2 linked regions of the Nothobranchius furzeri genome follow. The protein of the gene in region 1 purifies or fractionates together with the protein of each later gene. This does not show direct contact. Links are inferred from orthologs where the notes say so. Each region holds a gene or a part of one and is shown on either strand. Other genes may lie near its edges.

Evidence for each region. Proteins that work in one complex are often made in the same cells at the same time.
Region 2: the proteins of rpl7l1 (region 1) and rexo4 purify together in Homo sapiens (affinity purification with mass spectrometry; 3 studies listed by BioGRID and IntAct, with this or other methods). This does not show direct contact. The link is inferred for Nothobranchius furzeri from reciprocal best matches to the Homo sapiens genes RPL7L1 and REXO4.

What each region holds. Positions count from the first base shown.
Region 1 is NC_091742.1:28,214,902-28,218,918, forward strand, and holds the start of rpl7l1 (60S ribosomal protein L7-like 1), read right to left. Parts: upstream 2,801-4,017; 5' UTR 2,737-2,800; coding exon 2,723-2,736; intron 2,421-2,722; coding exon 2,312-2,420; intron 1,746-2,311; coding exon 1,582-1,745; intron 760-1,581; coding exon 622-759; intron 548-621; coding exon 438-547; intron 1-437.
Region 2 is NC_091756.1:33,915,092-33,919,085, reverse strand, and holds the start of rexo4 (RNA exonuclease 4), read left to right. Parts: upstream 1-1,194; 5' UTR 1,195-1,435; coding exon 1,436-1,633; intron 1,634-1,706; coding exon 1,707-2,011; intron 2,012-2,094; coding exon 2,095-2,241; intron 2,242-3,994. Other genes in the region: pigp (phosphatidylinositol N-acetylglucosaminyltransferase subunit P), read right to left, coding at 658-739.

The sequences.
Region 1 (4,017 bases):
GCGACACACACACACACACACGCACACGGACACACACACACACACACGCACACGCACACAGACACACACACACACGTATTGTTGCAGGGCTGAAAGAACTTTGAGAACCAGGTGCTTTTGCTGGTAACTCTGTTGTCCTGTGGGTGGACGTGACCCAAGCTTATTAATGTTACTACTACTTTTTTACTTGATGTAGTTTTGAAACCAGTACTTTTATAATTTGACTTGAATAAAAAGCTTGAATTGATGCTTGAACTTCTACAAGTCCTTTAAAACCCTCGTGTCTGTACCTTTACTTAAATAATGAATGCAAGTGCTTTTGACGCGACTGTCCTCTAGCCTGGTGAACCATCCGCAGCGCCTCGCTGTGTGTGTGTGTGATGTGTGTGTGGTGTGTGTGTGTGTTCCCAGCTGGAGCTCAGGGCAGTGTGACGCACCCATGTGCTGCTCTATGAAGTTGTTGTCTGTCAGAGGAACCCTTCTCCTGCCGATCCTGGTCTGGCCTCTCTTCAGGACGAGCTCCCGGACTGACTTCAGGTTGGGATATCTGGGAAAGGTAGTGTTCATCACCCAGAGCGACACAGAACCAAACCTACCGACCCAGCAGTCAGAAAGCCTCACCCCCACGCCACGTAGGGCTCCACCATCCTCATCATGGAGACGGACGTCTGGTTGATCTTGATGAAGGCTCCGCTGAAGATCTTCCTCAGCCTCATCATCTGGATCACCTTCATGACTTTGGGGCTGACACCTTTGACCCTGCCAGAACCAGAACGTATTTTTTACTTTTTATTAGACTCCAAATCACTTGGCACATTTCTAATTCATAATTTGTAAGAATGTAATCGACAATATTAGCATCCCTATGGGTTTTTCCATGTATATTAGCATTGGGCTAACCACTCGCTGCCAGTCAAATCGCAGCATTTGCCATTAGAAAATCTCCCTAGAGCCCATTTACTGACATGGAAGTGAAATCTGCAATATATCGTGAGATTGATTTTAGGCCGTATGGCCCAGCCGTACAACATGCCGATATATATCACCATTACCATACATTTGCTATGTTTTGAGCTATGTTCGGCGTCCCTGTTCACCAACGTCAACAAGTTGCCAACCTTGCCAGTCTCTATACCAGCTGATCTCAGCAACCTGGAAACACACTGTACAGGTGGAGAGGGAGAGTGAGTGAGTAAATGGTAAATGGCCTGTATTTGATATAGCGCCTTCTAGAGTCCTGGAGCCCCCCAAGGCGCTTTACAACACAATCAGTCATTCACCCATTCACACACTGGTGGGGATGAGCTACGATGTAGCCACAGCTGCCCTGGGTCACACTGACAGAGGCGAGGCTGCCGAGCACTGGCGCCACCGGTCCCTCTGACCACCACCAGCAGGCTAGGTGGGTTAAGTGTCTTGCCCAAGGACACAACGACAGCGACAGACTGAGCGGGGCTCAAACCTGCAACCTTCCGATTACAGGGCGAGCTCTTAACTCCTGTGCCACCGTCGCCCAGTATGTGAGAGAGAGAGAGAGAGACTGCCCTAACCACCACGCTCACCCGTTGGACAGACACTCACATTCTGATGCGAACAACGAAGGCCAGTTTGTTCTTGGCCGACGGCAGCGGGGCAGGTGGCCTGTGGTGTGCCCTCTGGAGGCGAGTGTCATCACGATGCTTCTTGTGGCTGTCTTTCAGGAAGTCCTCCAAACGCTTGAACTTTAAAGGCTTTCCTTTTGAGATCTACAGAAACCAGGAGTACAGATTAGAATCAGGAACACACACGTTTGTCTTTCATGTGTGAGGACCAGCGCTGAACTAGCCCAGAACCTTTGAGGTCCAGAGATGGGACACTCCCACAGGCTTCGACAGAAGGGATGGGAGGGAAATCCTGAGGGTTTATATTAGACTTTTATATATTTGCACTAAAGCCCAAAAGTGAAGAATTTGTCATTTCAGTGTTTTACACACACACACACACACACACACACACACACACACCACAGCTGGAGAGATTTTTAAGGGAAACACTGTATTTATTACTTGATTGTTCAAAATATCTCCCAGAAGTGATTCTTTTTTAAACAGAATTGTTGAATGATAAAATAAGGTTAATTAAAGAAAAACTAAAGAACATTCTGGATCTGTTTATTTTTTTACCGAATGTATCGGATCGGGACTCATATCGGCAGATTATCAAAAAAATCAAATGACTCGGATTCCTGGGCAAAAGAACTGATCGGGACACACACACACACACACACACACACACACACACACACACACACACACACACACACACACTTTACCCTTCTCTTCTCCAGCAGAGCTAGCTTAGCCTGGGTGGCTTTGATCGCCTGGTAGGTTTTCCTTTTCTTCAGGAGAAACTCAGGAACTAGCTTGATCACCTTCTCAGACCTGATGGAAAACCACACAACAACTCAGACAAGAGGAGGCTGTCGCTGTCGGATCCGTCCAGCGGAAACATTTTAACGTTTTCACCGGAACTTTGTAAACCGGCTTCAGCGTCTAAACATAAACACGAACCCATCCATGTGAGACTAAAACTCACTATCGGCGGCTTCCTGGCCGTCTAAGCCACACATACACACCTGAGCTGGCCTGTTAACAGCTGCGCTACATAATAAACATCAGATGAGTTTAATTACAGCTGAAACTAAGGCGGATGCACCGCGATGGCATTGAAAACAGATACATACTCTGGCTCGGCCATGTTGACACCGCGGAGCCGCTTCTTCTGGTGTTAAACAAAGAAAAGCAAAGGTTCACTAGCGCCACCTTCTGGACTGGAAGCGAAGAGCGCTCATTCAGTATCAGCCAATAAAATTGTATTATTATTATTATCATCATATTATTATTATTATTATTATATTATTATTATTATAATTTTATTATTATTATATTATATTATTATAAAAACACATCCTCTAATCTCTGATGAGTAGTCTACTTTGATACATCAGTACAGGATTTAAACTGGGATTACCGTTGACCAGGGGTCGGCTCTTTCATCCATTTGATGCCCATGCGCCTCTCTGTGCTTGTAAAATAATTAATGAATATTTATTTAAAATGTATTTTATTTTACATCATTCTTTTTTATCTGTATGCCAATTTTAAACATCAACATTGCCATCTTTTAAAATTAACAAAAATGATAAAGACCCGAAATTATAATAATAACATAATAATGAAAACAATTTTGCCGGCAGCTATGTGTGTGTGTGTTTTGCACTTCAAGCACCGGTCTAAACAACCTGACCAGTGTGTCCAGAACGTTATAATTAAATTATCTCACTTAGAATGAATACAAACAACAAACAACAAATGTCTCTATAGGAGTTTTCTGAGCTGAAGAGGATATGAGCTTCTGGACTGTTGCCTCATACAGACTCACTCCTCCCACTGAAGCGAGTGTTTTCTAAACCCGGTCTCTCAGAGAGACTTGTCACTTAGAAAATGTTCCCTGGTTACGAAACTTTGGCTGAATAGTGCTTGTTCCTGTCTCCAATGTGGCGACCTATGTGTGTGTCGATGGTGGTGACGCATCCATGAGCCTGGCTGAGGCAAAAGTCCAGAAGCTCGTATCCTTATGGAGATATTTGGTGCAATAACATTTGTGTTTTTATCCCTGGGAACTTGAAGTCACAGAGAAATATTTAGAAAAATCACATCTTTCACAGGTACAAAAACAACAGATACACCAGTTCAAAATATTGGGTACAAGTACACAAAATGCATGACTTCAGTCACACATAAAAAAATCTTACACTCACAGTTTGTTACGGAAATTTTATATTCCAGTACTTTAATCCTATTAACTAATGTATTACCTTATGCCTGAAAGCATTCACACACACACACACACACACACACACACACACACACACACACACACACACACACACACACACACACACACACACACACACGTAGAGTGGTAAATGAAGTGCTTTAAGAGCTCTATATATTACCTCTACTTATGACCAATAAG
Region 2 (3,994 bases), on another chromosome or scaffold:
AAGAGACTGCAGGCACTGATTTATGTCAGCAGGTCATGATGTGCATTGAGGAATAAAACATACGAGAAGCTAAATTATCATAATAAATAGCCTTTCTTCTAATAGAAATAATCTAACCTCACATTCAAATGTGTGATTAGGAGTTTAATCAAATAACATTTCTTTAAACAGTCGAACATTTGTTTAAATTGAACACGGACACTAAATAATTAAACTTAAACATGGTCAATCAGTCATATGATGGCTGCCATAAAGGTAGAAAAGAGCTGCCACAAAAGCAGAGATGTCCAAACAAATAGAACTGTTTTTGTTTTAGGGGCATTGCTGCTTGGACGCTAACCCTGACACCACACATGGGAGTTGTGAAAAAAAATTAACAAAGGTGTATCCTTTAAAGTGTTGAGATCACCGCTGTGTTTTGTCTTCCATCTTTACTTGTGTCAGCTTTTAAAAACACAAGACAAACGTAAGATTGTGTATTAGCTAGGATGAATATAAAAAATAAAACAAAACACTACAGACACATTTACAGGTAAACATAAAGATCATTTACTTCTGATTTTATACAGGAAGAACAGTCTTGACCTGTCACCTAAAAGATGCGTTCTAGTGTGTGTGTGTGTGCAAAACAGAATAAAATAATTATTTTTGACTTACAGAAACCAAACTGTGAGCCAAGGAAGAGAACAAACCCATAAATAGCTCTCTCGGGGACAGGAGACGGAGAGTTTTCAACCATGATCTGAAACCAAACAGGAAGCAGAGGAAATAAGCAAGCAACACAAACCAGAGTCTAAAACATCCTTAAATACTTCTGTCATCTTACCTCAGTTCATAAAATTTCCGAATTTTCACAACATTTGTGCCCCTACGTTTCTAAATAACGAGTAAATAAAGCTGGATTTCTAAAATAATACTAACAGGAAACATTTCCAACAAAACCTAAGAACAGCTGCGAGTTTGCACCAGCGTTAGTTCGGTCGGAAAAATTTCCCGGGTAAGCAGTTCCGCTTTTGATACACTAGACAAAAATATGACATCAAATTAAATTGTTTGAAGATTTACTAATTTATATGATTTAGTACATATTTACAGAAAATAAACATTTGAATATTAGAGTGCTTTCAAACTATGTAGAACGTTTCATACTGGGATGTCTTGTTCATATCGGACCCATTTGGCTGTTGCTCAGCCGGGAAAACGAACGCAGCATGGCTTCGGAATTTGCGAACTGAACGCAGAACCACGTTTATCTGCTGTTCTGTAAAAAATGAGCTGCTTGTTTACGTTAGTGTTTTATTTTTGATGCAGATTTTTGGTAAGGAGACATTACTTTAAGTGACAGCGGTAACAGCCATTGTCTATTGTTTTTGAAATGTCAGCATGGCTGACAACGTTTAGTTTAACAACTTCTTGTTAAAAAACACTTTCCATAATGTCTAAGGCGAAGAAGAAGAAAGCACATTCTGACCCTAAATCCACAGCTAAAGTTAAGAGGAAGGAGTTTTGGATAAAACACAACTCGAAAAACAAATTTCAGAAGATTTCAGCTCCTCAGAAGCACCAACCTCACCTGCCTACACCTCCAGAGGAGGCTCAGCAGTTCTCCTCTAACTGGAAAGCTCTCCAAGAGGTTTGTCTGTGCATCAGTGTGATGCTGGTGTGTATTTACAAAGTTAATCTGATTTTTCTGAAACCTTCCACAGATGCTAAATGCCAGTAAGCCAGAGAAGAAGCTCCCTGTGTCACCCAAACAGAATGTCTTTCCAAAGAAAACTTTAAAAAATATTCCCAAGACTCCCAGTGAAAAAGACAATGAGACTAAAGTCAAGCACACAGTTGCTCCTAAATTTGCCATTCAAAAGGAATCAGAGGTGAACTCTGATGTTCCAGCTGCCTCCAACACTCCGCAGCCAGCTGCTCCTAAAAGGAAACGGGACAAAGGAAAGTCCAACAGCGAGCAGAAAGCCAAGAGGAATAAACCAGTGGTAGAGGAGAGGAAGCCTACAGAGTGTGTACACCGTACTGATTTTAGAAGACATTGTGGACCAGAGTAGTTTTGTATTCCTAACTCTTTATTGTGTTTTGTTGCAGGGACGATCTTTGGTTCGATGATGTAGATCCTGATGATGCTGAGGAGACGTTGGGAGCAGAAGCTGCAGAGATCCTGAGGAGGAAACAGGGCAAACACCAGAGCAAAGACACAGAGAGCATGCTGGTGAAGGAGAAGTGTTTTGAGGGGTGAGTAGCTGTAAAAACAAGCTTCCTCTAGTGTGAACGCTGGACAGGACTTTATTTCCAGGATATGACTGACCACACGTTGTGTGAAACATTTAAAGTTTAAAAGGAAATTTTTTCAAGTTTGGCGCTAAAAGCTAAAGTGTAGTCATTGGTGGACACCCATTCCAAATTCATTCCTTAAATTTTGGATTTATGACTAGAACCACAAGTACTAGAATAGACTGTGCTGAGTATCAAAATAAATACTAAACCCAGGACCTTCTTGCTGCAAGGCAACTGCTCTATGTATACACATTTTAAGAAATAAAAAAAGAAGTAAAATAAAAAAATCTAGTCGAGCAGTGATGGGAATAACAATGTTTAAAATAACGGCATTACTAAAAAAATAGTTTTTTTTAATAACGAGTAATCTAATTATCGTCTTCTTTTATCATAACGCCGTTTACGTTACTGATAAGAAAATGCGAGCGTTAGTAATTCAGCAGCGTGGTGTGTTGAAGCTGTCAGCTGCTCGGGAGCTGAAGAGGCGGATGTTTTAATCCAAGTGCATCACGACCCGTGAAGAACGAGGAAGACGTGATGAATAGTCTACGGCTGCAGATCCGCAGATTCGCTGCTGCAGGCGTGAATCTGCAGCCGTGCCCTTCTTGCCGTGACAGCGGGACGTCCCGAAGGTCCGCTCACCTGTTCACCGCTCGGACATCACGATCTTCTACCTTCCTAGATCACCCAACTGTAACTTGTTTCTGCTCATTTCTTTAGCCCTGCTGTAACACTGATGCATCAGTCTCAGACGTCATGGTGCTCAGGTGTTATTAGAACTACCTGTGTGTCTTTACCACCCAGCTTCTGTGTTTGGGTCTGATCCAAATTAGTAAATTTAAGTCCTCCATCAGATTTGTGCCACTTCTAGTGCCATTTTAAAGGATTTATTTATTTATTTAACCATTACTAGATTACCAGCAACAGAAATGCTGCTAAAAACACACAATCATGTCAAGCTGGAAAAATGAGAATATTTTGCAAAATTACATTTATTACAGTAATTTGACTAGACTGAGAGACCATTTAAAGGCTCAGTAACCTTTACAGGTGTTTCTGTTTGCAATTATAAACTTTAGCTGATTGGGGTCTGGTTAAATATCACACAGTGACATTTTAATATTCTAGATTGGTGTAATATTCCTGTTTGTAGTTCCTCCTGTTAAGAGCCCATTTATTTAAATGATCCAGTTTTATAACAAACATTTGGACATATAATTTATTATGTTCCAGTCATTAGTCAGTTATAGTTTAGTATTGTAGTAATTTATAGTAAACTAAGTAAGTTTAATTAAGAGGGGAACCCATTTATCTTGCATTCTTTAATGAAAAAATGCAACAAAAATTTTTTTTTTTGGTAATTAGTTACTTTTATAATCTTGTAATTCGGTAAGTAACTGAGTTATTTTTTTGACAAAGTAAACAGTAACTATAACTAATTACCTTTTTAAAGTAACGTTCCCAACACTGGACATAGGTACCTACTGATGCATTTTATTTAAAATTTACTTGCCCGTGTGTAATTTGGTCATACCAGATTCAGTATTTATGCAAAAATAAGGTTGTTTCCAAATGAAAAGGTTCAACAGCTAGATCTGAGACCATGGTCTTGAGTCAGAAAAGGGTAGAATCCCTTTTCCGGGTCAGGGATGAGGTCCTGCCCCAAGTGGAGGAGTTTAAGTATCTCAGGGTCTTGTTCACGAGTGAGGGA